7 linked regions of the Coturnix japonica genome follow. The protein of the gene in region 2 purifies or fractionates together with the protein of the main gene of each other region. This does not show direct contact. Links are inferred from orthologs where the notes say so. Each region holds a gene or a part of one and is shown on either strand. Other genes may lie near its edges. The genes, in order: EIF4E, EIF3B, EIF3I, EIF5, EIF3D, EIF3L and EIF4B.

Region 1 (3,921 bases), on a different chromosome or scaffold from region 2:
AAGACTTAAAATAAAGACTCCAGAATGCGGCTGCTAATTTTATCGGGTTTCAGAGAGGGCAAGGTGGATGATTGACTTTGCAATATATTTCATGCTCTACTGTGTAGCTAAAGCTTCAGCTTGGGCTGACAATCTTTCGTGGAAACGACAGCTTAAAAAAAACACTAGGAAAGGTGTGGTTTTTAAGCAGTTGTGGAACTTTACTGTTGGTCCAGAGGTATTACTAGAAAGAAAATACTTTCTAGTATTTTCATACTAGACAAGTATGTATCTCAAACTATACTTATTGGTGCTGTTTCAGTTATTGTTGGTCCTTTGGTTATACCCAAGGAAAAGTATAAGTGAAGTCTGATTTAACTTCTGACTGTTCTTTCCAGGATGGGATTGAACCTATGTGGGAAGATGAAAAAAACAAGCGAGGAGGCCGATGGCTAATTACACTAACCAAACAGCAGAGACGAAGTGACCTTGATCGCTTCTGGCTAGAGACAGTAAGTAATGTGGCCTTAAAAGTTGCAGCTGAAGAAACTTGCATTTAGCATTTTAACTGCTCTGTTATTCCTGTGTGCCAGTTTGGACTTACAGTTTCATGCCGACATATTATTCCTACAATTTATTGACAGGCTGCATTTGAAACACGATCTTTCAAAATGGTGGTTGATGTAGTTGCGTGCTATTATGTTCTTAGAGAATTTTCCTGATCTCTGTTTGTTATTTATATACCTTTTCCCAGAGAATGTTCTCAGCATATTTGCACAACTATCAGAGTAATACTTGGTCTCTAAGTTTATTTTAACTGCTTACAGGTAATTATTTGTTCACAAATTCTCTTACAGGTGAATAGTTGCGAGGTTTTGATCTTGCTGAAGCAAGTTTCAGAATTGTCTTTTCTTCTTTCTATGCTTGTCCTAATGTAGGAGTGAGGAAGGAATAGCAAAATCTTCTTGTATACCATGAAAAATGCTTTTTTCCCATTGCTGTTACCTAAACATTAAGTGTACTTTTAGAGATACTGTGGGTTGCAGTAGATATATTGTAGAAAAAATACATATTGTACTGCCTAGGAACCAATTAAGTATTCTAAAAGATACAATCTGTGTTTTTTAGGGACAGCTATTATATGCAATATAATGCAAAGCAATTTCTTCAAAACTAAACTAATCGAAGTAGCTTTTCTTTGCTTTTTTGAGAAGAAATTATTCCTCATAAAAGAGAAGAGTGACCTTTGGAATCAAGGTTAGGGTGTCCAAAATACAAAAGCATTTAAGTTGATACTGGTCACTGTAACTGTGATTTGAGGAAAGGAAGATTAGACATTATAATAGTGGGCAAAATATGGTTTTACGTGAGTAGACGAAACTCTTGATGTGCACATTTGACCATTCAATTTAAACATATGTGAATGTCCTTCTGACTCCTGATAGCCATTTCATGTGGATTGGAAATGCGTAGTCCATGTAGTTTATGATTCTATGAAAACTCTGATTTTGTTAATGATAATGACCAGTATGTTTAAAATGTAATGTGCTAGTGAAGTCAAAGAAATGACCATTTAGAGAGGAGTACTTCAGTGTGGAGAACAATAACTACAAGAACTTATCAGTTTTGAATATTTAAATTTGTGTTGCGCAAGTTGAAAGTTGAAGACTTGAAGCATCACTTTCAGATAGTGACATAACTCCTTAGAAACTTCACATCACATTATCATTTTTGCCACTTCCAAACTTTGCCGTTAGAAATCTGGCAAGGCAATCCTGTATTATTTGAACTGATGCATTTCAGAATCGAAGTCAGATCTTAGACAGATGATGCATTGCTCAAATAGTTTTTCCCCAGGTTCTTTCCAGTTTATGAATGTAGACTAAAGTTTTCCATTTGTCTATGTACTTCATAAAGACTAATGAGTTCCTTTAATTGTTGCACCTATTTGGATTGAGGACTGAGAGGGAGACATAAGTGATCATCTGTCAAAGCAGAAGAGAAACTTGAGGAAGATGCTACTGCCAACTAAGCTTAGGATCACTTGTAACATTTGGAACTTTGATAAGACACAACAGAATACTGTTGCTGTATGGCTAGTGGCTATGAGACATAACATTCCTCAAAGTTCTTCATGCACTTAGTGTTCTGTGGAGCAGGATTCTGCCTTGGAGCTGCTACTTTAATTTTTAATGTTTATTTTGTAGCTGCTGTGCCTTATTGGGGAGTCATTTGATGACTACAGCGATGATGTATGTGGTGCTGTTGTTAATGTTAGAACTAAAGGTGATAAAATAGCAATATGGACAACTGAATGTGAAAACAGGGATGCTGTTACGCATATAGGGTAAGTAATGTGATTTGTTTCTCAAACAAATGTGAAGTGTAACAATGCATTTAAAGCTACTTAATTTAAAAACTGAGCTTTTGGCAAATGTAACCTGAGCAGAGCTGTATCCCAAGTTCAAGTTACTCACAATGAAGTTGTTTGCTTTACTGTTTAGTTTTTGAGGGCTTGCATCAGCAAATTCATTGATCTGTACTCTATTTGCTATAGCATAGAAATAATCAAGAGTTCAACACAGATCTTGGCAGGAGCTTTTAGTTTCATAATGAGGTATTGTAAGTAGTTTCTGTAAGTGGTGTAAATTCTGTTGCAGCATGCCAGTTTGTAAGGCTGGCTGGTTACTGACAATAGAGAGCATTGGTAAGCTTGGTCTTGGGGAAAAGGATGCTTAGGAATGGGAGATGAAGCTCACCAGCATGTTCTTGTATTTGATTAGAGCTGGTTTTCATTTTGTCTATTTACACACAAACCAAATTCTGGATTTCATGGATCTGACACATAAAATGGTGTGTCCTGGTCTTTGTTTTGGTAAAAGACAATGGCTATCTTTGTTAAGGAGAATACATTTAGTCTGCTATTTAACACGTATTGCTAAAACCTGTGGATTCTTTTTGCTGTGATAATAATGTTTCAAAGTTACCTAATGTTTCATTCAGTCACTGAAGGCCTCTTGAATATTTACAGTACTTTACACAGGTTGTTTCCAGTTCAGCAAATCAGTCTTAAGCCAAAATTCAACTGTCAGGCATAGTGACTTTCAGGATAGCTCTTAGCATGTGCTTCACTTGGACTTCTGAATCTGGTGAGGTCATACTTACAGTGTCTAATTACAGTATGATCTTGTTGAGACCTGAAAGATGACTAACAACAAACAACCAACTGTGGTACACATCTGCTGATGGAAAATATCTGCTAGGTTTGATGTAAGGTTGAGTGCAGTTTAATATGTTGTTAGCAGCTAAGATGCCTCCATTAAAGATCGTTTGGAAGAGCATTGTTTAAGTTATTCTTCTGTTTCTCTTCTCCAGGAGAGTATACAAGGAAAGATTAGGACTTCCTCCAAAGATAGTGATTGGTTATCAGTCCCATGCAGACACAGCTACTAAGAGCGGCTCCACCACTAAAAATAGGTTTGTTGTTTAAGAAGACACCTTCTGAGTATTCTTTCATAGGAGACTGCGTCAAGCAATCGAGATTTGGGAGCTGAACCAAAGCCTCTTCAAAAGCAGAGTGGACTACATTTAAATTTGATTTCCATCTAAATGTTGCTAAGATTTGTGAGAAGTCTAATTCGCCTTTGTCTTGTACTTCTGTGTTCATTTTTTTTTCTATTTTGGCTGAAGTAACCATTACCGATCAGAATTTTAGTACAACCCCCCCACCCCCCCCCAAACCCCAAGTCATAAATGTTTTCCTGGCCCACTCTGTAATAGCTTGGTAGAAACATTACTATTACAAAAAAACATTTGTTGATCCACAGTATTCAGAAAAGTTGCATTTCTGTACCTGCAGGAAATTACTCTGTTTTACATTTGCATTGTATGCAGTAACATTTTGCTGGTTTGGAAAAGAGTATGGTGCATACAGTTTTCTAG
Region 2 (4,352 bases):
TCTGTACTCTGTATGTTCTTCAACCATACTAATTCCCCTTGCCTACCATTCTACACGTTCATTCAGTACTTGCTGGTGGGACGGTTTGTTCAGTCCCTGTGTTGTCAGCTGCAAACTTTTCACCAGAGTAAAACTGCCAAAATCTTGCAGCATAATTGAAATCATACAGGAAAAGAAGGGAGAACATTAAGAATGACTGTAACCCAGCAGTTGTGGTTTTCCTATCACACCAAGATTACAGCAGTTGAAAGGCACACAGTACAGCCCTATGTCACACACAAAATTAGGAGCAACAAAAACAGCAGCAGGCTTCTAGACACAGTTTACCTGTGGAATTTTCTGCATACCTTACTCTAAGCTGTATCTCAAGACAATTCCATTTAATTATTTTGTATCCACAAACTTAACCCCGCGGGTAACATAGAATTTAAACACATTTGGGTTGCTTTCCCCTCAACTTCTTTCTACAAAGATGAAAGTTCACCCAGTATGAGCCAAAGACTCAGAAGAAAGGAAATAAGAAGCTGCAAATAAGTTAACTTCTAAGCACATACAACACCTTAGAGTATATTAGGATATCTTGCCATTACCCAGCTAGCTAACAACACACATACACTGAAGCCATTGACAGGTAACCTCTGGCCTGAGAGCTAACAGATGGGCAGGGAAGCATCTACAAAAACTCTAAGGACTGAAAAAAGGAATTTCAAAACCTGATATTATAGAAAAATAATATTTTTTAATTATAGAATCTTTATATCTTTAGTTCTTCTTGCATGTAATATGGAAACATGTCCTCTAAGGAACCAGGTTATTTCCACAAAATCTTATGGGAAAAAGAGAACGATAATCCTGAAGCTCTGAGAGTCTCTTTTTCATAGCCAGTTCCCACAAAAGGCTATAAAAGAAAGGAATGCTTATTTAGCTTAACATGGAAGTAGAGGACATTCTATCCTAAATCAGAACTCTAACAGGTTAAACACATACCTACACTGTGTATCTCCTCTACCTTAAATGCAAAACTACCAACAAAGAAACCTTCAAAGGGCAGCGGCTGGTTCAGCCAGCTCTATTCCCACAGGCCAGAAAAGAGGGGTGTGGTGGGTGCACGGCTATCTTCAGCTGGCAGAATTTTAAGGACCTCTCTCATTATCTGAACTAAAGCTTCATGGCACCTGGGCGATGATCTGACACATTCCTTCTATGGAAGGTGGAACAGCTGTTCTGCTGTGCCAACACCATTCTGGGAAAAAAAAACCAACATAAGTCAAACTAACACCTGAGATGATCCAATCTTAAAGCCAGACTGGTTCAGAATTGTTCCTGAACACGTAACTCTTATCATAAATGTGGGAATATGGAAATAACCTTGAATCAGTGATGCTGATGGCCTGGAATTGATTGTCCTGTGGAGTTATCAGGGTAAAGGAAAAGGAATAAGGCAGCTCAAGAAGTAGAACAGGCAGATAGAAAACCAGACCAGCAGGAGTGACTAAAGTTAAACGCTGTAATTCAGCCACTAACATTGTATTATTCATACAGATGAAGAGTCAACCAAATTAATCCTAAAGAACAGAACAGAAAAAAAGACAGGAAATGTTCTGGGTTCTATCTAAACACTGACATGAATGTGATAATCCCCGATGTAGAGAAAGCATCCAAAGCAAACACTTCACTAGACAAGAATCCAGTGATAAACCTGCAGACACTTTTGGTAGTGTCTCTAAGATACACGTGCTCAAAGTGCCATATACACTACTAAGAATAACACACTTTCTTAATTCAAAATACTTCTCCACTTATTTATTAAGCTAAACATAGGAATGGAACACAAGAAAGCACAATTACCACTTGTATTCCGCCACCAATTCAAACCACCTGCTGACTCAGGAAGCAGTACATGCTTTAAGAGGCATTTTTCCAGCTCTGATACGTGTAACCATTACAGAACCTACAGCAGCATTTACGTCAGAGTAAGAACTGGCACAACAGACAAATGGATTTGCTGTTCAAGAATTGACACGGTTTATCTTGAAAGAGTTGTCCGAAACAGTAGAAATACTGAAGCACCAAAGACAGCTGCTGCCATAACGCCTTATGGGGCCAAACGACGGCTGGGTCATTGTATGACACTCAGTATCCAGCTTTTCCTCACAGACCCCGAGCTGCTCCACACCCGCAGCTCATCGCCCCGTTTCAGGAGGGCAGCGCTGACGGCACCAACCGCACGGACACGCCGAGGCCTCCCCACGTTCCCGCAGCGCCCCGGCCCAGCCCAGCCCGCCCCGAGCCGGCCCCGCACAAACCTTCGTCGCTGATGTCGTCCACGAATCCCTCGGGATCGCTGAACGAAAGCTCGTCCTCGGGCTCGGCGGGCGCGGCCTCCCCGTCCTCGCAGGGCTCGGTTGGCGGCTCGGCCTCGGCCTGGGACTCGCTCTTGGCCTCCTCCGACGGCGGCTCGGCCTCGGGCCCGGCCTGCGAGGGGCTCTCCCGGCCGGACGCCGACTGAGGGGAGGGCGGCTGAAGCGGCTGGGGCTCGGCGGGGGGCTCCGAGGCGGCGGGTGGCGGCTCAGGGGGCCCCTCAGAGCCGCCCTGTTCCTCCGGCCCTTCTTTCTCCCCTTCCTCCTCCTCCTTCAGTTGCTGCTGAGGCGGCGGCTCTGTCGGCGCTCCGTCGGCCCGCTCGGGTTCCTCGGCCGGGTCCTGTGCGCCGGGCGGCGCGGGGCTGTCCTCGGTGCCCTGCATGGGGTCGGTACGAGGCCCCACCGGCCGCGCGTTCCCAGCTCGAGAGCGACGGGAAAAGGAGCGGGGGAGGGGTGGGGAGGCTCCTACCGCCGGGCCATGTGCGCCAGGCCCCGCGAGCCGCCGCTACCAACGGGAGGGGGGGGCCGGGTTAGAGCAGCGCTGCCCGATGGAGCTTCCACCCGCCGCTTCTTTCTCCCTGCTCTTCCCCAGAGCGATCGCCGCCTCCTTCACCGCTCACCCCTCCTGCTCGGCCAGCAGCGCCGTCCGTCCTTTCCGAGCCCTCGCGGCTGCGGCTCCCCCTGCTGCACTGCTTTATGGTTCAGCCCAACATGGCGGCTCCTGCCCGTCCGCTGAGGTGGGGTTGGACCGAACCATTTCTCGGGAGGCCAAAAGCGGATCGTGTCTCTGTGCTCAACCGGGCGGGCGGCGACCGAACCCTCCGTGCGGTGCCGGCACTTCAGGCCATCAAACGTCCTGCACCGGGCAGGAGGAAACAGCGAATCTTGTCGCCTTCCCCCCCGCGGATCTACCGCTGTGGGCCCGTCCAAAGGCGGCGGGGCGATGGCGGGCGCTACCACAGCTCGTGATGGAGGGGCGGTGATGCTGGGCCCGGCCCGGCCCTGCCAACACATCGCCGGCTCAGTGAGCTGAGCTCTGTGTCCATTAAACCATTAAACCAAGGACACTTTGATCCCGATGCAAAGATACGTCCGAGTGTGTGCGGTGATACATCCACAAACAGAGAACACAGGGCTTTTCTTTGATGCCGTCAGGTTTAAGCGATGGCTTTGGAGGGAAAAAGCAGTTATTGAGGATTTAATCAGAAGCCGCTCGGAAAAGCTCGTTTTGTGATTTATCGGGCAGCCACAAGGTGCCACCCGAGCTCCATCCGAGCGCTGTGAGCGTCGGATCCCTCTTGAAGCCGCGTTTATGAATGGAAATGATGACTGGCCCCGCTGTGTGACAGCACTGGGCCGGGCTGTGACTTGCTGGGTTTCAGCAGCAAGTAGGAAGTAAAGGAAGAGCTGCTGCCTGTCCTGCTTACTAGCACGTTTTTTATCCAGATAGGAGGACATGCTGTGCTGCAACCCACAGCACCAGCTGCATCCTCACCATTATACGGCTTGTCCTTTTGTGACTCGGCTTTTGCAGCTCCTCACAGTTGCCTGCATTGCTGGGATAGACAGATTTCTATATGACCTTTCTTTCTGTTTACAAGCTATCAGCAAATTTGAATGCTGGGTCTTTCTTCCCTGTCATCTGTTTGAACTTTCTCTTACTTTACAGCACATTTTAATCCTTCCTTCCTTCCTTCCTTCCTTCCTTCCTTCCTTCCTTCCTTCCTTCCTTCCTTCCTTCCTTCCTTTCTTCTTCTTCTTCCTTTCTCCATCTTCCCCTCCATTCCCCTCTTCCTACCTTCCCCTCCCGTCCCTTTCCTCCTCCCTCCTCCTCCGTCCTCCTCTCCCCTCTCTCCTCCTCCTCCTCCTCCATCCCATCCATCCCTATCCCTCCTCTTCCTTCTTCCTTTTCTTCTTCCTCCTTTCCTTCCTTCCTTTCTTCCTTCCTGTCCCCTTCTTCCTTATCTTCCTTTGCTTCCTTCTTTCCTTTCC
Region 3 (4,524 bases), on a different chromosome or scaffold from region 2:
TGATCCACACTTTCAGACAGCCAGGTGTCAGAACAGCTTCCTTGAGGCAGCTGAGCCAAAAGTTTCCCCTCTTCAAACATCAGTTACCTTAGAACAGGTTTCCTCTGCTCACTGTGCCTTGGTCATGAACCAGCTACACAGAGGGTGAGTCCCAGGAGGGTGAGCAGCATCCCTGCCACAGCCCCTGCAGAGATACAGAGTTCTGTGTTGGGAACATACACAGCTCAACACAGTCAGCCCCCATCATTGCTGAATATGTGATTCAGTCAGGAAAAAAGATGGCCTAAATGGATGTGAGCCAAACTGGTACTTATTGCTACTATTCAGTTTTCAAGTTTCCTGTTATTTCCCAACTTCTTAAGCAGGATAATGTTAGTGTATGGACATTTCTCTTATGGTTAAATACATCATTAGGTGAAGGCTCAGGCCTACAAGTTCTGCTAGCTTAAAACAGCCAGTTCCAGCCAATTTAAATTCACTAGCTCTACCCCCTTACAAGTCAGTTTCACTTCCTTTTCAGCTTCCTTGCACAAACTACTGCCTAAGCAGTTACCAGAAGGGAGCACACAACATTAAAACAACAAATAGATGCAGAATACAACGTGCCAAATGTTTTAAGCGTAACTTACTTTTACCACCAATATCCTCTCCCAAAATCCTTCCAGTCACCAGCGTGACTATCAGAGCCAGGGAGTTACAGAGCGGCACTGCCAGGGACAGCTCTGAAATTGAACAATTGTAACACGGTTTGAAATGGATGCGTCCTTCATTCAAAGACATCTACTTGAATCCCCCTGTGGCACAAGTGGTAGAAGTGCCGCTCTGCTACACAGGAGGCTCGAATCCCGGGGGTTGGACTCGATGATCTCTAAGGTCCCTTCCAACCCACACCAGACTGTGATACTATGATGATGATACTTGATGTTCAGCCAGATCACCAAATGAATCAGTAATACAGCTCCTCCCCAAACCCTGATCAACCCACTGGACAAAGCAGTGAGAGCTGACCTGCAGATGCCAAGGTGAGGTAGAAGAGGAGCGATCCACATTGGTTCAGCAGGAATGGCACCATGTACTGCGGAAAGAAGACAGGTCACTGCATGGAAAAGCATTGCAATGCCTGCAGCAAGCAGTGCAAGCCTTGGATGCCATGTCTGCAGAAGGCAGGCAGGTCTGAATGTGAAATATGAGGGTTAATTTCTACAAGTGTCTAAGTTCTCCATAAGAAGAGCAGGACTGCAGGTGGGTAGATGAAATGTTATAGAGTACAAATCATTTTGCTGATAGATGGGAGGTGCTGAGTGCAGGAAGGAGCATGAAGGCCCGTCCCATACACCCCATGATTCCGGCTGTGCTCACCTTGTAGTTGCAGCCCAGGAACCTGATCTCGGCCAGCAGCTGCCGTAGGAGCCCCCGGCGCTGCACGTCCAACAGCCCCGCCGCTCCCGTCCGTAGGAACGGCCCGGTGCTGCCCCATAGAACCGACACCAGCACCAGCACGGCGGCCTGCCCTGCAGCACAACATCAGCTCAGCCCCGGGGCTGTTGGCCCGGCCGCCATCAGCCCGCAGCCCCCTCACACAGCCCACCCCGTCCCCTCAGCCCCTCCGGGATCCACCCGAGGCCCGTCCCCCAAACCCGGAAGCTCACCGGCGGCCGCCATAGCGCCCCGTGACCCGGACGTGATACTCCACGCCTCTTCTCTCTCGCTCCGGTTCCGGCAGCGCCGTGTCCGCCATGGTGAGTCGGGTTGTGGGCCGGGCCGGGCTGATGCGGGTCCCGGCTGGGTCCTGGGGTCGGCGGGGCTCCTGGGCTGATGGTGGTGGCAGCCTGAGCCCCAGCCGGGGCCTCGGCCTCGCTTGGCATAGCGTTAAATGGCGCCTTCCCTCATTGCCGCGTGCAGAAGCCGATCCTGCTGCAGGGCCACGAGCGATCCATCACACAGATCAAGTACAACCGAGAGGGAGACCTGCTGTTCACTGTGGCCAAGGATCCCGTGAGTGAACCGGGGGCACCGGGAAACCGGGCTGTGTGCGATGGGGGGGGAGGGATAAAGGTGGGTAATTAACGAGCTCAGGTAATTGGTCAGAGCGGCTCTTCAAGCCTTTTTATCTTCTTTTAGATCGTCAACGTTTGGTACTCGGTGAATGGAGAACGGCTGGGCACCTACAATGGGCACACAGGAGCCGTGTGGTGTGTGGATGCTGACTGTATCCTTTGGGTGCACAACCAGTTTGTGCTCTCGTTCCTTGCAGTGATTCAGCACGGATGGCTCCATTCAGCTGCTGTGTTTAATTGTCCCTTGTGCCATCTCTTGGTTATTTGTGCTCCTTGGGAAGTTTCCCAAGTCCTGTAATTTCTCAATGTAACGCAGCTTCTTAATCTTGTGTGTAAATACTCCCTGGGTATCTAATGATTTTTGGGGCTGCAAACGTGCTGATATCCCTTAACTGCTGACCAAGGGGACACCCGACATGTGCTCACTGGCTCTGCAGATAACAGCTGTCGGCTCTGGGACTGTGAAACAGGTAAAGGCTCTTCTCTCCCACGTGGCTGGATCTGACTCAGCTCTGTCCTGTTCTGGGATCTGTGCAACATGTGCCTGTTTGCCCCTGAAAGAGCCCAAGTCCTTTCTTGGCTGTTTGTGTATTTGCCTTATTTTCAATGGGCACTTATTCATTTTGCTCACCAAGCACATTTAGTGCTTTCCAGTCACCCAACCTGTCTGTCAGCTCTGATGCTCCTGTTCTTTCTATGACTGCACTTCTGTTTGATTGCTTTCATTAATGTTTGCAATGCAAGACCAAGTGAAGTGATGGTTTCTGCTCCGTGTTCAGGAAAGCAGCTCGCTCTGGTGAAGACCAGCTCGGCAGTGAGGACGTGTGGCTTTGACTTTGGAGGAAACATCATCATGTTTTCCACGGACAAGCAGATGGGTTATCAGTGTTTTGTGAGCTTCTTTGACCTGCGTGACCCCAGCCAAATCGGTGAGGAATCCGGGCCTGTGCCTGCAACTGGGAATAAGGGGAAGCGTTGGCTGCCAAGAGCTGGTGCCACTCAGTCTGTGTGTCTCCATCCTTCCTTCCTGCAGAGAACAACGAGCCTTACATGAAAATCCCCTGCAGCGACTCTAAAATCACTAGTGCTGTGTGGGGCCCTTTGGGAGAATTCATCATCGCAGGACACGAGAGTGGGGAGCTGAACCAGTTCAGTGCCAAGGTCAGTGTGATAAGGAGGAGCATCACCCTCAGGCAGCAACTCTTGGGAGAGGATGTTGCAACGTTCCTGTTGTGATCATGTGGCAGAATGTGGGTTTTTTTGGCTCAAACCAGTGGCCTTGAGGAAGGATAGTTAAAGTATGTGGCTTTCTTCAGCAAAGCTGAACATATATATGCCTACCTTTCTGCTGACAGCAACATCTAAAGTCGGTTTTAGCAGAGAAGTTGTTTGTACACTTTCCTTGCCAGTTCACTTAAACTGCCTCGTTTACCCTTCAGTCAGGGGAGCAGCTTTCAAACATCAAGGAGCACACCAAGCAAATCAATGATATTCAGACCTCCAGGGACATGACCATGTTCATCACTGCCTCCAAGGATAACACTGCCAAGGTGAGGCCTCCTGGGGGGACTGCGGTGCATTGCTGACATCCGCTTGCAGGACCCCTGCTCAAAGTCATGGCTGCCTCAGTGGTTTTCTCTTTGGGAATTTGAGCAGGTGTAGAGCCAAAGCTTAGTGGGAGGGCTGATATTTGGGATTCTGGAGCAATAGCTTTGACATTTGGATGCCCAGGAGTGACTTTAGAAGTAACACCTGCTCATGTGAGGACTGGCAGCTGGGGTTTGCATGAGATACTTGGACTGCCACTCTCTTCCTTTTGCATTTTAGCTATTTGACTGCACAACGCTGGAACATCTGAAGACATTCCGGACAGAGCGACCGGTGAACTCTGCTGCACTCTCCCCCATTTTTGATCACGTAAGCATGAGCCCACGCATACTAACGGTCTTAGTGCAGCTCCTGCATTGTCTCAGGCAGCTGGAAGGCACAGTGTCACCAGTTCAGCCTGAGCTAAAGAATCACTGTGGGACAGGGCCAGGGGACTTGACTGCTGTCATGGGCTGTGCTGGGTTAGTGGGAGGCTTCCCCAAGGCTGGGCTCCCTCCTACCCTGGCTGTTGTTCCACATATGGTGTAAGCAGCACTGCAGTGTTGTGACTTTCTTCCTATGCAGGTTGTGCTCGGTGGTGGGCAGGAGGCCATGGATGTGACCACGACCTCCACCAGGATTGGCAAATTTGAGGCAAGGTTGGTGCTCTTCTCTGGCAGGGCTGAGTCTGCACTTGGAGTTCTCTCCTGCTCCCAGAGCGTCTTGCTATTGGCAGCATTTGGAGAGTTACTAGAATTGCAGAGCTTCTCTGAGGAAACCCTGATGACATCCCTAACCTGCCTCTTTCTTCTCCCAGATTCTTCCACTTGGCTTTTGAAGAAGAGTTTGGCAGAGTGAAGGGTCATTTTGGTCCGATAAA
Region 4 (4,427 bases), on a different chromosome or scaffold from region 2:
GTTCTGTTTTGAATGTTCTACTTCAGAGGCATTAATGTACAATTAGTTCAGACAGAAAGATGCAGACATCTGCTCCCTATGATTGGCTGGGGTTGATATCATTACCTCCATTCCTTTATATAGAAAGCAACCAATGTGAAACCCTATCTACTTATCACTAATAGCTATTAAGTTACCTTGGCAATCAGACGGGGCATTTTGTAGCGATAGAACTGATCTGAAACACTGCGGTTGACGTTGACAGACATTTTGCCTTATTAGTAGCTTTATCAATAAGATGAAGAGATCTTTGATTGCAGTTTTTTGGTATCTTCTGTCTGGAGAAGACGGGATGACATAAACGACTGCAAGAGTTCTCGGTCTCTGACATGAAAAAATTTTCGCCACTGAGGCTGTAAGGTTCTTGCTTGTATGCTATGTTTCCCCAATACAGGTACCAGTGGCTGCGCAACAGCTCTGCAAACATCAACAGACAGAAAAGCAATAAGTTCATTGTAACATACACCAATAAAATCTTGCAATGCAGCTATACAAGGAACTATATTTATGGGTAGGGAAACTAAGTTCATTATTATATACCATTCTTCAGCCTGTGAAGCTGAAGACAATAGCCCTGAACTGCACTGCTGAATAGCTTTTCCTCACCTACACTACAGAACTTTAAGTTCTCTTCTACCTTACTCCCTAAAAAACAATGGGTAAATGAACAGTATTTTCTGTACAATTAACTCGCAAGACAGCTGTGATCAGTAAGAAAAGGAACACTGGCCGATTAATGAAGTCCAAGGGCTCTTACACTAAGGTCATGTGGTACGGTCCACGCTAAAGTGGAAAGGGAAGTGGGAGAAGAACACCAGACTCAATTTCTGCATCATCACATGAACCTATTAAATAAACTGCGGATTGTCAGAAAGCTGAGAAATATCCCTAAGTTGAAGCAGCAGCAATCCACAGTCCAATAGTACTATTACGTGGCTTACCAGTTTTCTGGCTCGGAGAGGAAAATTAGGTGATACTCCCTCTCACTTACAGGTTCTCATAGCAGCTTCTGTGGAGTTTTGACTTAATAATAAGCCTGATAAATCCTGACATAAACTGCTTCACTATAGAAAGCCTAGCAGCGCAGAGAGGTACAGAGCAGTGCAACAGCTTCTCCAGTTCATTTTTTTTCTCGGGGGAAGGAGGATGAATCCTGTTATTAAAGTTGCCTTAAGCAGTATTTACATATTTAAATAAACATGCGCCCCTGTAATCAGATCTAAGGTTACGTAAGCCACAACTGGTTGACTAGGCTGGCAGCCCAGCCTGCAGCGTGCTCACTTTGACACGTCACCGTGTTATCGTTAATGACACACGAGTGTTGACACATTAAAACAGACTCCTCCATGTTCCTGTGTAAGAGTGCCATTCTGTGCTCTGTTCAGGTTTACAAATCCTTCCACGAGGAGCAAACAGATTATGTGTACACTATGTATTATGTATTAGTCCCAACACAGCTTTACCCTTCTTCAGCACAAGCCGTCCTTCCTCAGAGTGGCTAAAAAAGAGCCCCCATGTGACCCGACCATGTGCCTGAGAAGCGCTGAGGAAGCAGTATGAGGAAGCAGTACCTCTGTGAGCTCGCAGAGCTAACGTGTCGCTTCCCCTCCTTCCAGCTCACGGCTTCTATCTGCGGGCTGCAGCTCCCTCCCCTGCTCCCTGGGACTCCTCCTCCCAAGCAAGCAACCCTCCCCCCCCCCAATATGCCGCACACAGAGTGGGGGAAAAAAAAAAAGAAGAGGGAGGGCAGAGCGCTCAGCAACACTCCCCGCCCCAATCGGGCCCGTGATGAGTCATAAATGCAGCAATTAAGCACTGACTCAGCCCCGGAATAGACCGGGGGGAACCTCCAACTGCGCATGCGTTCCCCAGCTCTAAAGTGGGGGGGGGGGGGATGCTCCTGTTGCTCTTCTCCCCCCATTTCCCCCCATTCCCCCCCGCTGTGGATCATTGTCCCCCTCCCCCCTCAGCCTGTATCTGCGCCACAGCTCCAACCCCCACAACCGCCCACAGCGCGGGGAGGCGCGGCCCGGCCGCCGCCATCTTGTCTCGTCGCATGGCGCAGGGGGGGGGGGGAAATATCGAGTGAAAAATAAAAAATAACGCTAAACAGCCACCGGGAACATCAAACCAACGATGGTAAGAGGTTAATGTGTCAACTCTTATCTCCTTCTCCTTCCTGGCGGGTCCCTGGTACGGCTCCTCACAGCCGCCCGTCCACCAACGGCCGCCCCAGCCCAGCCCAGCCCGCTCGCCCCTTCCCAAGGCCCAACCACCCGCTCCACCTCCACCCCCACACTCACCGTTTTCGTCCAATAAAGACATAAACCCAACGCTGCTCGCCCTGGGCTGCGATGAAGCCGAGTGTGCGATGAGAACGAGGCCGTGCGGCGCTTATAATCCGGCCGGGGGGAGGAGGCGGAGGCGGACGCCGCAGCCTCCGTGTCCGGGCGTCCTGTGACGGGCTTTATGAGCAGGGACAGCAATGCCGGACAATCTGAGGAGGAGACACAACCAGGGGCATCGTCAGCGCCGGATCCTGAGAGGAAAGGGAGGAGGAGGAGGAGGAAGGGGGAGAAGAGGGAAGGGGGGGGAGGGAGCTGCGGCGGCGGGCGCGCAGCTCGGGCAGAAGGGGGCGGTTGATGGGACCCCAGCAATGGCCGCCCCGTACTCACCTCTAGAATGTTCTCGCTCTGACTGAACAACGCCAAAGCTGGGATCAATCAGCCAGCGGCACGCCCCGCCTCCCCAGTCTTTCCATTGGCTCGCCGCTCGCCCTGGGATGAATCTATTGGCTCAGGGCCCTCCGTTCCTCTCTTTTATTGGTCAAAGCCGCTATCGATCAATCCACCCCTCGTCTCGCTTCCCTCCCCCCCCCACCCCCCCAGTGCCCCAAAGGACATCGCGTCTACAGCGGCCGGGTCTCGCGAGACTGCGCGGGATGGCGCTGCGGGGAGCGGCGGGCGCGGGGCTCAGTCAGGGCGGGGGGTCGGGGCTGAGGGGGGTGGCCGCTTCGCTCTCCTGCTGCTGAGGGGCCAACCCTGCCCTCAGCCCCTCTGCTGGGACCCTACCTGGCCTTGTGTATACCTCGAAGCTATGAGCTTTTGGGGCCTTCCCCTTTATTATTTTCCAGTCTTCTGCCTTCCCATACAATGAGAATTACGTATTTTGGATGGTTCCAAACATTCAAGGGGCAAAAAGCTTCTGAAAACTCAATCATTAAGGTTGGAAAAGGCCACTAAGATCATCTAAATCAGCCCTGCCCCATCACCTACTAAGTGTCCTTCACAACCAACCCTCCATCAGCTCTTAGTGCTTTAAGGACTGCCAGGCAGCGCCACAAGGCCCCAGTTCCTATGGCTGTGTCTTACAGCAGATATACAGCTGAGGAATATGATTTAGCCTGGAAGTATTGGTGATGGTTGGACTAGATGATCTTCTTTTCCAAACTTGATAATTCTGTGATTCTGTGATATTCTTCACCATCTTCCTACAAGACCCTCCTACATCATCTGCATCATCACTGCTGCCCTACTTATAGGTTTCCTTTCAGCCCATGCGATAGCACATCCTTGTAGGCAGGATGATGTCCTGTAAAACACTTTGTAAGCCTGGTTTGGACTTGGAGCTACTGAAAAATGTAACAGGTTATTTTAAATGCTTCCTTGAGAAACACACAGCAGCGCCTCTTTAAACATGAGAAAGAGGGTTAGTGCGAAACAAGGGAATAACTCTCCCAAGGATATGAGGTTTGGCAGTTATCACGAGGGGAAAAAATCATCATAAAGATGTGGGAGGCAAGAAAAGCACAGCAGGAACTCCTTAGCTGTAAAAATATGCAGCGTGCATAACTTACTAAATGCCTCCTTTCTGTGGCTTTACTGACATGCTACTACACCTCTGAGGTTAATAAATTGCAAGTGTTAAAGCATATTGCTGCCAACACCACTTTATTGAACAGCAGAAGGGAAACGAGCCCCTGGAACTGGTGCTGCTTGACACCATGAATAACTGAGCAGTTATGATTAGTAGCGTAAAGAGGGATTTCTACAATTTGATGGTGCATAATCTGACATCAAGTTAAGAGTTACCTTTTCAGATGGTATCCGTACTGCCAAAAGCAGAACCCATGCAGGAAAGTTAGAATATACTCTCTTGCATTATAGAAAACAGACTACAATGGTAGATTATTGTCTCCTTGGTACCTAGCTTTTCCTTCCTGTTTGAAGGAAGTTTTCAGCAGTGGATATTAATTAGAGTGTGTGTTTCCTTATCACAGAAATGCTTTGTTGTAGCTCAGTTCAGCCTTGAGCTATGCAAGTTTGTTCTGTGCTGCCTTAGGTTTTATTAAAAATAGCAGAGCATCAATGCCTGTGATACAGCAGAAC
Region 5 (3,009 bases), on a different chromosome or scaffold from region 2:
CTATGGAATGCAAACCTGTACTTGCAGAGAGAGCCCCTGCACTGGAAAGGGAGAAATGCAGTAGCAATGGCTAGGAGAGGAAGTCTGCTAGGGACGGTTAATGAGGGCAGCACAGATAAAGATCAGCTACTGCACAGAGCACCTGGGAACAAGAACAGGGTTCAAACCAACTACCTCATGCCTGGGTAAGGCTTAATAGCACTGCTAGTCCACCAAAGCTCTGCATCTTTGACAGAAGGTAATAACTCAGGGGACACCACTAGATGTTTGTCTCATCTTGCCTGCTATACCTGGCATGTCAGGCAGCAGTGAAGCAGTTAGAGCTAGCTTTGGGATCTTGTTCTTCCTCACCCTGGAATCCCATTCGTTCAGAGTTTTGATGTTGATGAATGACACTTCGCCGTTAGCCCCTGTCATCACTCCATCATGCTCGCAGCGGACAATGAGATCTATGTCATCTCCCAGCTTCCACCTTCGGTACCTGCACACACACAGTCCAGGTCATTGTTGATCCTGGTTCTTTGCCAGATCTTTCCAAGTACTCAGCAAAATCCTTTCACCCTTTATCTGTTCACTGGTTTGGATTGTTTTACCCTGCAAACCACGCTGATATCCTGCACCCTTGTCAAAGCTTGGAATAAGAGATGCATCAACATACCTGTAGGCAACAGAAGCTACTTCGTTCTTATCCATGTCATCCTCCACAAAGGGGTTTGGGTTGGGAAACTTGTATTTCTCCTTTCCCTGTGTAAGGAAACAGAAAGGCTTATTAGTAAAACAAACAAGCAAAAGAACAAAACAAAACTTAGAGCTCTCCTCTTGGGTGAATATTCTCTTACAGCAACAACAGCTGACTTCCCTTACACAGAGAAGACACTAAAAGATTTAAGACAACAGATGCAAATTCTCCTTTCCATGGTAACCACTTCCCTGTGATCATTACTCCTCTTAGCACACCAGCTTTAATAAATGTAATCAGAAGCCTGCCCACTTTACCAACAGGAGTGGGATTTCCTCTTTGTAAAATAAAGGTGAAAATCATTTTATAAGAGTCACTTTGCTCAACATAAGGAATCCCACCTGTTTCAAGCTGAGGTAACATCAGTGCAAACTACTTTTACCAATTTAAACACTTTTGTGCTGAGCAGCAGCATTAAGCAAGTCTGAATAAAGTCTCATTTCCAGACTCTCCAAAATTCAGACCTTACTGCCCAGGACTACTCGGCCTTACCATCCTCAGACACTGCTGGGAGAAGTTATGGTTGATGTAAGTTGCTTCCATGGCAAGGTTGCGTGGAGAATTAAAGGAGTTGCCCTCTTCCTGTGGTGGTTCATTAGCTGTTTCACTCACTGTCAGTAGATCTGAGAACAAAACCAGTCACATGCTGTTACACTTGAGGAGAATCTGTATCGGCTTCAGTGAATCTCTACCACACATGCTGAGGCAGATCAGCATTGAAAGTACTCTCACAGTTAGCAACATATTGCAGCCATCAGTTTGCTCCAGGTGTCTCGGTCTTGGCACTGAGACACAGAATACATTAAAAAAACAACAACAAACAACCACCACCAGAGAAGCATAAAGAAAAATGAGACAAATTTTAATTCAAGAGTTTTTCTCACCAAAGTCTGAATTGTCCCTCTTGTCAAAGAAAAGCTTGGATCCAACTCTCTGGACAATGATGTCCCAGGAATACACAGAGCGAGTGCAACTCATCAGTGTGGCCAGGATAGCATCTGTGGCAAACACATTCCCTTGAGTCTTGGCCAGCTACGGATACAGAAAACACCATATTTCAGCAGCACTTACAGACATACCTTTCCTTTCCCAGCCAAGATCAGAAGTGCTAGCAAACCAGATTGTGAATTTCTTCTTCCATACTGAGAAAGACAGACTGCTGGGTACACCGTTGACAGCTATGCCAAGTGTGGAGTACTACCTAGTAATCCAGGCTCACCCTTGCTCTCAGACAAGCAAAAAGAAATCTACTACAAAATGGAAATCTACTGTGAAAGGACTTGGTTCCTTACTGACAGAGTCATAAGGAGCAGTCCCTGAGCCTTCCTCATCTACAAAAGCAGAAAACTCTAGAAGCAGCTTTCCAACACTGAAGTTCCTTTTCCAGCACTGTCCAAGTACTCGTTTGTTTGCCTTTCATTGCTCAGTACTCCCAGTTTTACCCTGTCCCAGCTTACCTTAGGTCCAAGGAAAATAACAAGGTAATAGTTTCCCCTTTGTAAGCTGAGAGATGTAGATTTTTCCTGTTTGTCTTTGGTCTGACTGTGACAGTTCTCAAAGCACAGCATGCAATGAAAAGCACGCTCTTGGATTTGGGAAACCAGTGAACATACCTTTCGGATAACTGGGTCATCAGTAGTAGTGACTGTATGGAAGATGCGCTTAATGCTCCTCAGCAGCTTCTCATTCCTTGTTGTAATGCGGTCAAAGGCTTTATCATAGTATTCTAGAGCTCCACAGCACTCTCTACAGAGAGAAAGGACAGATCATCTTGGTCACATAAACACCTCCACTGACAAACCACAAAGGACTAAGGGAATGGTTGGGTGTTCTACCACTCCTGGCTTTGCTTACTTCACTGGGGACACTGGGACCAAGCCAAGAGACCCCTTGCTTTCCTGCTATCCTGTGCTGTCTATTCAGGAAACTGTTTTAGGAACTTACATGTCCTGTGGTTCTGACACTTCCAGGTAGCGCATCTTCATCAGTCGAGGGAAATCCATCTCTTCTTTCACCTCCCAGTCACTGCGAACTTCCACAGAGGAATCACGAGGCTTCTGCTGCGCGGCCAGAGGTGAAAAGGGTAAAGGGAGAAAACACACATAGCACATCAGGATTTGTGCACGAGGACATACAGACATCAGCACATACAGACAAACTAAGCCATCACCAGGGTCAGGAAGCTGGCTAATTTACCTGTGACTTCTGGTCCCATTTCTGCCTCACTCCAAACTGCTTCTGAAACTTCTTTTGGAGGCGCAAACGATCCC
Region 6 (3,661 bases), on a different chromosome or scaffold from region 2:
CTCAAACCCTGATGTATTTAAAGACATCTGAAAACAGAGAGGGGAGAGGAGGGCTGTGGACATTCAATTCATTCTTTGCATCCTTTTCTCTTCCCCAAAATGTCCTTGATTCCCATTTATAGGACAAGTTTCAACCTTTCTTTCTCTTCCAAGGTCCTGCAGATTTGCCTGGAAGAATCCAAGGTGGCCAGAGAGCTGTGAGAACTAGCACTGAGGTTCACGATATTTACAAGCTTTTAACAACTCAAATACCCTCAGGGATTTTTCCAGAGAAACAACCCCATTACATTATGGGCCAGGACTTGGGCAAAACTTGTGCTGAAATAAAGCAGCCCCCAGTAAGGGCACCTTATCAGATGATCCAAGTTAATGTTAGCTGAGTGCTTAAAAAATAACCTCCCCCTTCCTTTAAAAACACCTTGATTCATTTGGAAACATTTCTATTTCTCAACAGCTAAAAAGAAAGTAAAAAGAAGGGGGAGAAATCAGAGATGCAACCTTCTAGAAAGGCAACTACCGCTCAGGTTTACTCAATGTGGAACAACAGCTAGAAGGAATACCTGGCAGCTGTTACTATATGCTGTGGAACAGCTCATTTTCTCTGTTAACCAGTCCCACAGCCTTCCCTGTTTGCTGCATCCAGTATGTAGGACTAGTCTCCATCTACCTGCAACAGCTTTAGCCGAAGACAGCACAAGCCAACAGCAGCTGCCTGTATTTTGTGATGCAATTATGTTCTCATACAAAGTAGGGGGGGGGGGGAGAGGAAAAAGCGTATCAGTATCTAAATGCTCACCAGGAAAATTCCACTCTTTTATTAGATGTCTTGTTCTTCGCAGAATGGTTTGAGCCGAATGAGTCATCTTATTTAAAGTACAAAAACCTTTTGAGCCACAGGAGATTCCAGAAATGCCAGAACCCTGAGCCTCCCTCCCTCACAGTAAGGAGAATAATCTCCCCCCACCCATTCCTCTGCTCAGGCTGATTGCTGCATCCACGGAATTTTTAGGGTCTCTGGCCCATCTTCTTCAAGGTTCGATTCAGCTGGAATTAGAAGAAAGCAAAACAGTCAGAAAACACACTGATTGGCACACACTACTGTTCCCTTCAGCAGCCCTAATCCAGCATCTCTTCTCCTTTCTCAGCAACCCATTGACAAAAATGCTCTCATGCTGGAGCAGGCAGCATGTGAATCACAAGGGGAATTAGCCAAATTCCCTCCTCCCCTCCAAAAGGACAGCAGAGGAATTAGGGAGAAGTTGCAATGTTCTAACGACGGTACACTAATAGAGAAACCTTCAGCCATCCCCTTGATTCAGGATTTTGCTGCCAAGGCTTCCAACCCACAGAAGCACCTGCTGGGAGAGCAGAGCATTGGCAGCATGTCACCTCCTGGCTGAATGCAATAATCATCCATGCTCCAGAAATCTAAGGCTGCTTTCTAGGCCCTTGGTTATGGGGATATAGACACGCTTTCATTGCACTACTGAGAACTGCCGCAATTATCTAGCGACAAGGGAGTCAGCAACTTCAGAAAGTAAAACCCTCCTCCTCCTTTACAATGAGTTTCAACTGGATGAACACTTCTGACACGCACACAAAAAAAAAACCAACATTCCTCATAAGTGAGCAGCTGCTGCTCAGACCACCTGCCCTTACCCAGTGCCATGCAAAGCTGAGGCACTTTGTCCCAGCAAGGCATAGTACAGCTGTCACACACAGGCATGTTTTCTCCCAGCCATGCGTGGCTCAAAGTCTTTCCCACTTTTCCTACAGAACTATACAGCTGTTCTGCCCAGGCCTCACCTCTTCAAACTTGTGGATCTGGCGGATGAAGAAGTCCCCATAGCGTCGAGCAACCTTTGTGTCTGCAATGTGGATCATGTCCTGGGGAAGGAAGAGCATGAGGTCAGGAAAAGGACTGTGCTACCAGGGGACAGCAAGCACTGCCAAACAGGAGGAGCAACAAAAGGGGCTTCACTCCAGCCCTAGTTCAGCACTGCACACACGCCTGACCTGCACTAGACCTACAGCAAGTATTCAGTTTTCTGTGGGATGCCTTTTGTTTACCTGAGACAGATCCCAAACTCACACTGTATTTATTTCCCACATTCTTTCACTCTACCTATTCCAGCTCTCTGTGCAACAGTTTGACAGTCCCAATCCTAATTCATGCTCTGCTTCCCTCTACCAGCAGCTAAGAGTGGTGCAAACTACTAGGAGTGCTAGGCTGCAGTGCAAAGTCAGTTTGGTTCAGGTACACAAGGAAAACAAAGCACAAATGAGACCTTGCAGGTACAGCTCTGCAACAAGGAGCAATCTGTTTCTCTTATTTGACAGGCAGCAAAAACCTAATAGCTACCACTGGTTTCTTTGACAAATGAATTCTCAGAAGATACTTCTCACTGTGTTGAGCTCCAAGGGCAGGTTGGTGACATGATCATACCTGCACCACTGCTCATCCACTGGCACTTCTATTAATCAGGGCTACAGCTTCATTGTAGGCAGAGAAGTCCTTCACATGGCACAGTAATGTTTCCCACAGATTCAATTATAAGCTGGTGCTGCTTCTTCCAGAATTTCTGGGGTGAAGGAATTTCCTTGTTAGCAAGGAACAGATACCAACCTTGTCAATATAGAAGTCAACTTCAGAGGCAGACTGGAACTCTCCATCCAGGGCAGATATGCCGCTGGTCCATACCAGGTTCTTCATCTTGTGCTTGAAGACAAGCAGCTGGATGCGAAACTCCTGCTCTGTAAGGTCCAAGAAGCCAGCAAGCTTGGCCACGGGCATCGTGGTATAGAGCTTCAGGAAGCTACGGATGGTGGAGAGCTGAGCCTGCTGCTGAACCTCATCAGCAAAGACTTTGAGCTGTTGCAGGAAAGGCTCCTTGTGATAGTTGGGGTGCACGTTGTCATAGTTGGGCACCACAGGGGAGAGGAACTTGGGGCAAGCATAACTGAAGAGCTCCTCATAGACCTGAGCATCACCCTTCTGCATGCGCAGCATCTTATCCCCGTATTTCTCTCGCAGCTGCAGGTGGATGCTCTCATCAATGCGCATAGGGTACATGGTGAGGGCGATGGCAAGGAGGGCGTGCATCTGCTCGTTCTGCTTGTTAATCTGGGACAGAGAGGACAGCCTGTTAGTTTAGCAATGTGCTCAGGACTTACAGTGCGAGAGAAAGCTGCATTTTTCAGAGATGGACCCTTCCTTCATCCTGACAACTGAAGGTCCTGATGCTCAAGGGGGGACAGCGCAAAGAAACAGACAGAATCTGGATAGCCAGAAACAGGTTTGATTGCTTTGGTGCAAGAAAGTGCGGAGGAGCAGGCATAGGGAAGGAACACAGTTTAAGACACACTGTTGAAACAGATCAGTAAGAGGCCAGTGCAGAAAAAAAATGAAAAGGAAGATTCATACGAGTTCAGTCTTCAAAAGCTGTGTAGCTAAACCTTAAACACTACATTATTGAAGTGTCACGGAATGATTTGGTTATGCGAGGGAATTAGAAATGAATCATAAGGATGACAAGGAGACAGCAGCAGCAGAGGGTAAACAAAGCAAAACAATAAACACCAGAGACAGCTTAACTAAAAAGAGACGTGAGCTTTGTTTTACCCATAATAAGTTTAAATAATCTGTGAATGACTGCATGAC
Region 7 (4,701 bases), on a different chromosome or scaffold from region 2:
CCCATAGAGGGTGACCCCACTGAGTGAGGGGATGAAGGGAGAGTTTCGGACCCCCTTATCTCCACTGAGCTCTTGGGGTCACGCTGCAGAACGCGGGGCTGGAGGGCAGCCTGGCAGAGACGGAGGCGAGATATGGGGCACAGCTGGAACAGCTGCAGGGCCTGATCCTGCGCGGGGAGGAGGAGCTGGCACAGGCAAGGGCAGAACTGCAACGTCAGAACCGGGAGCACCTCGCGCTGCAGGACGCCAAGAGCAAATTGGAGGCTGAGATTGCCACGTACCGTGCACTGCTGGAGGGAGGAGAGGGGTTCAGGTGGGACATTGGGGGGGTGACACCGAAGGGGGACCACTGTGGGACTGTGGGGCATCTGGGTGGGATCTCTGTGGCCCTATAGGGATGGACAGGGGACAGTGAGGGGACAATGGTGGCATCCATCAGAGTTGAGCCCCAGGGCTGGGAAGTCCATATTCTAATCTCTGTCACCCTATAGGAACAGACAAGGGACAGTGATGGCACACAGTGGGGTGAACCCCTTTGTAGTCCTTTAGGGACAGAGAGGGGACAGTGGTGGCATTCGGTGGGGTGAGACCAAGTGTTGGGATGTGCAGGTCCCATCCTTTGGGATGTTTGGGGACAGCAAAGGGGCAGTGCTGGCATTCAATGAGATGAGCCCCAGTGTTGGGATATGCAGGACCATGGCTTACAGGGACAGCAAAGGGACAGCAGTGGCACCCCATAGGGATCCTATAGGGACAGCAGTGACACCCAGTGGGGACAGGGATAGTGGTGGCACCCAAGTGGCCAAGCATCCCAACCCTGATGTCCCCTCCAAGTTCCTTGGGGTTACAGCGGGGTAGGGTAGCGTGGGGCTGAGTGACACAGGGGTGGGTGACACGGGTGGGTAACAGGGTGGACATAGGGTGAGTAACATAAAGGTGGGTGACATAAAGGGGTGTGTGACCATGGGGACACCCGCTGCTCCACAGCCTGCAGGATGCTCTGGGGTCGGAGGGGACAGTGACCACGCAGCGCAGCACCCAGAGGACGGTGGATGGCAAAGTGGTGTCCGAGAGCAAAGAAGTCAAAGTGCGCAGCTACTGAATGGGGACGGCGTGGTGCCCCCTCCTGCCTTACAAATAAAGGAGCAAAGTGAAAGAGATGGGGCTCAGTGTGTGTGAATGGGAAACTGAGGCACAGGGGTGGGAGAGGGAGGGAGAGAGAGATGGTGGAACAGAAGTGGGGATGGATGGAGAGGGGGATGGATGGAGGGAGGGATGGAGGGAGGGATGGATGGATGGATGGATGGATGGATGGATGGATGGATGGATGGATGGATGGATGGAGGGAGGGATGGATGGAGGGAGGGATGGAGGGATGGAGGGAGGGAGATTGAGAGGAAAGAATGGAGGGATGGCAAGAGGGAGGGAGAGGTGGATGGAGGGATGGAGGAAAGGAGAAAAGGAGGGAGGGTGAGGTGGGGAGAGAGGGAAGAAGGGAGGAATGGTGAGAGGGAGGGAGAGATGGAAGGAGGGAGAAGGGAGAGATGGAGAGGGAAAGAAGGGGGAAGGGATGGAGGGGGGTGAGAAGGATGGAGGGAGGGAAGGAGAGAGGAAAGGAGGGAAGAATGGAGGGAAGGAGGAATAGAGAGAGAAGGGAGGGAATGAGGAGGAGGAGGGAGAGGGAGGGATAGATGGAGGGAGAGAAGGAGGAAGAAATGGAGGGATGGAAGGAGAGAGGGAAGAAGGAGGGATGGATGGAGGGGGAGCGCTCATCCCGGTGCCCCCCCCACGTGCGCGCTCCCGCGGCAATGCGCGCTCCCGTGTGCGTCTCCCCCCCGCCCTGCCGGAAGTGGGCGTCGCTCCGGAGATCACGTGACGGCTCCATCCGGGCCTTTCGCCCTCTCTCTGCCTCTTGCCAAGATGGCGGCCTCAGGTGAGCGCCGCGCGGTGGCTCCGGCCCCACATCGCCCCTCGCCCACCCCACACCCACCCCAGAGCGACCCTTCCCCACTCCGCGACCCCACCTCTGCCTCGAGCCTGGGTCTGCCGGGCAGTTGGCTGCGTTACGGGGGCGGCAATGCGGCTCTGCGGGGCCTTCACGGCCGGGAGCGGCCTTCGGGCCTTGCCCCCCCCACACCCCACATAGACACACAGCGCCCATTGGGGGGGGGGGCAGGGCAGGGCGTGGGACTGCGCATGCGCGGAGCTGGGCGGAGGGGGGGGTCCACGTGTGGGGTTGGGAGCGTGGAACGGGAACACGGAGCGATGCGGTGTGTTATATGTGTGTAATGGGCGGGGAGAGCTGGGCAATGCCGGCCCCATGCTGGGGCTGGGCCCTGTCCAGCTCCATATCATCACGTTTGTGCAGTGCTGGGACCTGTGCAGTGCTGTGGTGCTGGCTATGTGTGATATGCAGTGACATCTGGGCACTGCTGGCATCGTGCAGTGCTCCAGCACCACCCTGTGCAGTGCTGGGACCCGTACAGCTCAATATCGTCATGTTTGCGCAGTGCTGGGCCCTGTGCAGTGCATGGTGCAGTGCTGAATGTGTGTGATATGCAGTGACATCTGTGCAATGCTGGCCCCATGCAGTGCTCCAGCACCACCCCGTGCAGTGATGGAAGCTGTGCAGCTCAATATCATCATGTTTGTGTGTGATATGCAGTGACATCTGGGCACTGCTGGCATCATGCAGTGCTCCAGCACCACCCCGTGCAGTGCTGGGCCCTGTGCAGTGCAGCTGCAGTGCTGAATGTGTGTGATATGCAGTGACATCTGGACAATGCTGGCCCCATGCAGTGCTCCAGCACCACCCCATGCACTGCTGGGAGCTGTGCAGCTCGATATCATCATGTTTGTGCAGTGCTGGGCCCTGTGCAATGCATGGTGCAGCGCTGCAGTGCTGGATATGTGTGATATGCAGTGACATCTGTGCAATGCTGGCCTCATGCAGTGCTCCAGCACCACCCCATGCAGTGCTGGGCCCTGTGCAGTGCATGGTGCAGTGCTGGACGTGTGATATGCACTGACATCTGGGCATCATGCAGTGCACCATCATCATGTTTGTGCAGGGCTTGGCTCTGTGCAATGCACGGTGGCAGTGCTGTGGTGCTGGTTGTGTGCAATGCACAGTGATATCTATGCAATGCTGGCCCCATGCAGTGCTCCAGCAGCACCCCGTGCACTGCTAGGACTCATACAGTGCACCATCATTGCATGAGTGTGCTGCTGGGCTCCGTGCAGTGCTTGGAGGCAGTGCTGTCATGCTGGCCCTGTGCAGTCACATCAATGTTCTGGTTTGGAGAAGCTCTGTGAGATTTTGGGGAGCTCTTCATGTTTTTGGACGTCTCCATGTGCTTTTGCTGACCCCCGTGTTGGTTTTGGGGAGCTTTGCATCAGTTTTGGTGATCCCTTTGTGTTTTTGGGGAGTTAAGTGAGATTTTGGGGTGCTCAACATGTTTTTGGGTATCTTCATGTGCTTTTGGCAATCTCTATGCCAATTTTGGTTGCCTCTGTGCTGATATTGAGGAGCTCTGTGCCAGGTTTAACAACCCCTGTGCCACTTTTGGCCACTCCTCTGCTGATTTCAGTGGCCCCTGTGCCAGTTCTAAGGAGCTCTGTGTGATTTTGGTGCCCCCTGTGCCAGTTTTACTGACCTCTATGCCAGTACTGGTGACCCCTGTGCCAATTCTGATGAGCTCTACGCCACATTTGGTGCCACCTGTGCCACTTTGGCAGAGCTCCTCACTGATTCAAGGCAGCTTTGTGAATGCAGGGAGCTCCGCATGCTCCCCTTGACCCCCACCCTCCTCCCCACATCCCATTGCCACCAATGGGAGGGGGGTCATGGGGTGCAGACAGAGCCATGGTGCCGATCTCGCCGCCCCCCCCACCCCGCAGCAGCCAAGAAGAAGAACAAGAAGGGGAAGACCCTGACCCTGACCGACTTCCTGGCTGAGGATGGCGGCAGCGGTGCACCCACCTACATCCCCAAGCCGGTCAGCTGGGCTGATGAGACCGATGACCTGGACGGCGACGGTAGGGGTGAGAGCGAGCCTAGGGCAGATACCGTCTGTTTTTGGGGGGCTACCATCCATGTTGAGGGGTCACAGTCTGCATGAGTTGGCCACCATCTATGTGGGGTGGCCACTGTGTATAACACATGACCACCATCTAGATGATGTGGCCACCACCTCTAGCCCACGGCCACCACCTCTTTGCTCTGGCCAAGCAGCCCATGGCCACCACCTCCACATTGTGCCCACCCTCTTTAGCCCATGGCCACCACCCCCATGTTTTGGCCACCCTCCCCTGCAGCTCTTGGCCACCTCCTGCAACACATGACCACCACCTCCACGCAGTAGCCACCCCCTGCATCCCATGGCCACCTCTTTTAACCCACCACCTCCACGCCATGCCCACCTCCTTCAGCCCACCCATTCTCTCCCACAGTCTCCACTGCGTGGCACAGCAATGATGATGATGTGTACCGGGCACCGCTGATCGACCGCTCGCTGCTGCCCACCGCCCCCCGCGCCGCACGCGAGCCCAACATTGACCGCAGCCGCCTGCCCAAGTGCCCGCCCTACACGGCCTTCCTGGGCAACCTGCCCTACGATGTCACTGAGGAATCCATCAAGGACTTCTTCCGGGGCCTCAATGTGAGTTGCATGGGGGGCACAGCACAGTGGGGTCCTTGAA

The links.
Region 1: the proteins of EIF3B (region 2) and EIF4E purify together in Homo sapiens (affinity purification with western blotting; 5 studies listed by BioGRID and IntAct, with this or other methods). This does not show direct contact. The link is inferred for Coturnix japonica from reciprocal best matches to the Homo sapiens genes EIF3B and EIF4E.
Region 3: the proteins of EIF3B (region 2) and EIF3I purify together in Homo sapiens (affinity purification with mass spectrometry; 12 studies listed by BioGRID and IntAct, counting the BioPlex papers as one, with this or other methods). This does not show direct contact. The link is inferred for Coturnix japonica from reciprocal best matches to the Homo sapiens genes EIF3B and EIF3I.
Region 4: the proteins of EIF3B (region 2) and EIF5 fractionate together in Homo sapiens (co-fractionation; 3 studies listed by BioGRID and IntAct, with this or other methods). This does not show direct contact. The link is inferred for Coturnix japonica from reciprocal best matches to the Homo sapiens genes EIF3B and EIF5.
Region 5: the proteins of EIF3B (region 2) and EIF3D purify together in Homo sapiens (affinity purification with mass spectrometry; 10 studies listed by BioGRID and IntAct, with this or other methods). This does not show direct contact. The link is inferred for Coturnix japonica from reciprocal best matches to the Homo sapiens genes EIF3B and EIF3D.
Region 6: the proteins of EIF3B (region 2) and EIF3L purify together in Homo sapiens (affinity purification with mass spectrometry; 8 studies listed by BioGRID and IntAct, counting the BioPlex papers as one, with this or other methods). This does not show direct contact. The link is inferred for Coturnix japonica from reciprocal best matches to the Homo sapiens genes EIF3B and EIF3L.
Region 7: the proteins of EIF3B (region 2) and EIF4B purify together in Homo sapiens (affinity purification with mass spectrometry; 3 studies listed by BioGRID and IntAct, with this or other methods). This does not show direct contact. The link is inferred for Coturnix japonica from reciprocal best matches to the Homo sapiens genes EIF3B and EIF4B.

The regions. Positions count from the first base shown.
Region 1 is NC_029519.1:53,872,364-53,876,284, reverse strand, and holds part of EIF4E (eukaryotic translation initiation factor 4E), read left to right. Parts: intron 1-377; coding exon 378-491; intron 492-2,186; coding exon 2,187-2,326; intron 2,327-3,354; coding exon 3,355-3,469; 3' UTR 3,470-3,921. UniProt on the Homo sapiens protein: Acts in the cytoplasm to initiate and regulate protein synthesis and is required in the nucleus for export of a subset of mRNAs from the nucleus to the cytoplasm which promotes processes such as RNA capping, processing and splicing.
Region 2 is NC_029529.1:3,185,079-3,189,430, reverse strand, and holds the start of EIF3B (eukaryotic translation initiation factor 3 subunit B), read right to left. Parts: upstream 3,042-4,352; 5' UTR 2,743-3,041; coding exon 2,307-2,742; intron 1-2,306.
Region 3 is NC_029538.1:4,527,752-4,532,275, reverse strand, and holds the start of EIF3I (eukaryotic translation initiation factor 3 subunit I), read left to right. Parts: upstream 1-1,621; 5' UTR 1,622-1,649; coding exon of another isoform or gene 1,650-1,662; 5' UTR 1,663-1,736; coding exon 1,737-1,739; exon of another isoform or gene 1,740-1,743; intron 1,744-1,902; coding exon 1,903-1,995; intron 1,996-2,121; coding exon 2,122-2,209; intron 2,210-2,461; coding exon 2,462-2,527; intron 2,528-2,836; coding exon 2,837-2,986; intron 2,987-3,090; coding exon 3,091-3,218; intron 3,219-3,496; coding exon 3,497-3,607; intron 3,608-3,884; coding exon 3,885-3,974; intron 3,975-4,229; coding exon 4,230-4,303; intron 4,304-4,461; coding exon 4,462-4,524. Other genes in the region: TMEM234 (transmembrane protein 234), read right to left, coding at 123-184, 630-722, 1,009-1,075, 1,360-1,511, 1,650-1,662. UniProt on the Homo sapiens protein: Component of the eukaryotic translation initiation factor 3 (eIF-3) complex, which is required for several steps in the initiation of protein synthesis.
Region 4 is NC_029520.1:45,677,677-45,682,103, reverse strand, and holds the start of EIF5 (eukaryotic translation initiation factor 5), read right to left. Parts: upstream 2,842-4,427; 5' UTR 2,715-2,841; intron 2,537-2,714; 5' UTR 2,343-2,536; intron 457-2,342; 5' UTR 249-456; coding exon 177-248; intron 1-176.
Region 5 is NC_029516.1:47,227,673-47,230,681, reverse strand, and holds part of EIF3D (eukaryotic translation initiation factor 3 subunit D), read right to left. Parts: intron 3,009-3,009; coding exon 2,936-3,008; intron 2,800-2,935; coding exon 2,684-2,799; intron 2,486-2,683; coding exon 2,353-2,485; intron 1,772-2,352; coding exon 1,624-1,771; intron 1,363-1,623; coding exon 1,232-1,362; intron 745-1,231; coding exon 659-744; intron 482-658; coding exon 352-481; intron 1-351. UniProt on the Homo sapiens protein: mRNA cap-binding component of the eukaryotic translation initiation factor 3 (eIF-3) complex, a complex required for several steps in the initiation of protein synthesis of a specialized repertoire of mRNAs.
Region 6 is NC_029516.1:46,623,777-46,627,437, forward strand, and holds the end of EIF3L (eukaryotic translation initiation factor 3 subunit L), read right to left. Parts: intron 3,125-3,661; coding exon 2,627-3,124; intron 1,888-2,626; coding exon 1,807-1,887; intron 1,045-1,806; coding exon 1,006-1,044; 3' UTR 786-1,005; downstream 1-785. UniProt on the Homo sapiens protein: Component of the eukaryotic translation initiation factor 3 (eIF-3) complex, which is required for several steps in the initiation of protein synthesis.
Region 7 is NC_029544.1:1,104,098-1,108,798, reverse strand, and holds the start of EIF4B (eukaryotic translation initiation factor 4B), read left to right. Parts: upstream 1-1,834; 5' UTR 1,835-1,920; coding exon 1,921-1,933; intron 1,934-3,900; coding exon 3,901-4,044; intron 4,045-4,452; coding exon 4,453-4,661; intron 4,662-4,701. Other genes in the region: KRT18 (keratin, type I cytoskeletal 18), read left to right, coding at 90-313, 988-1,102. UniProt on the Homo sapiens protein: Required for the binding of mRNA to ribosomes. Functions in close association with EIF4-F and EIF4-A. Binds near the 5'-terminal cap of mRNA in presence of EIF-4F and ATP.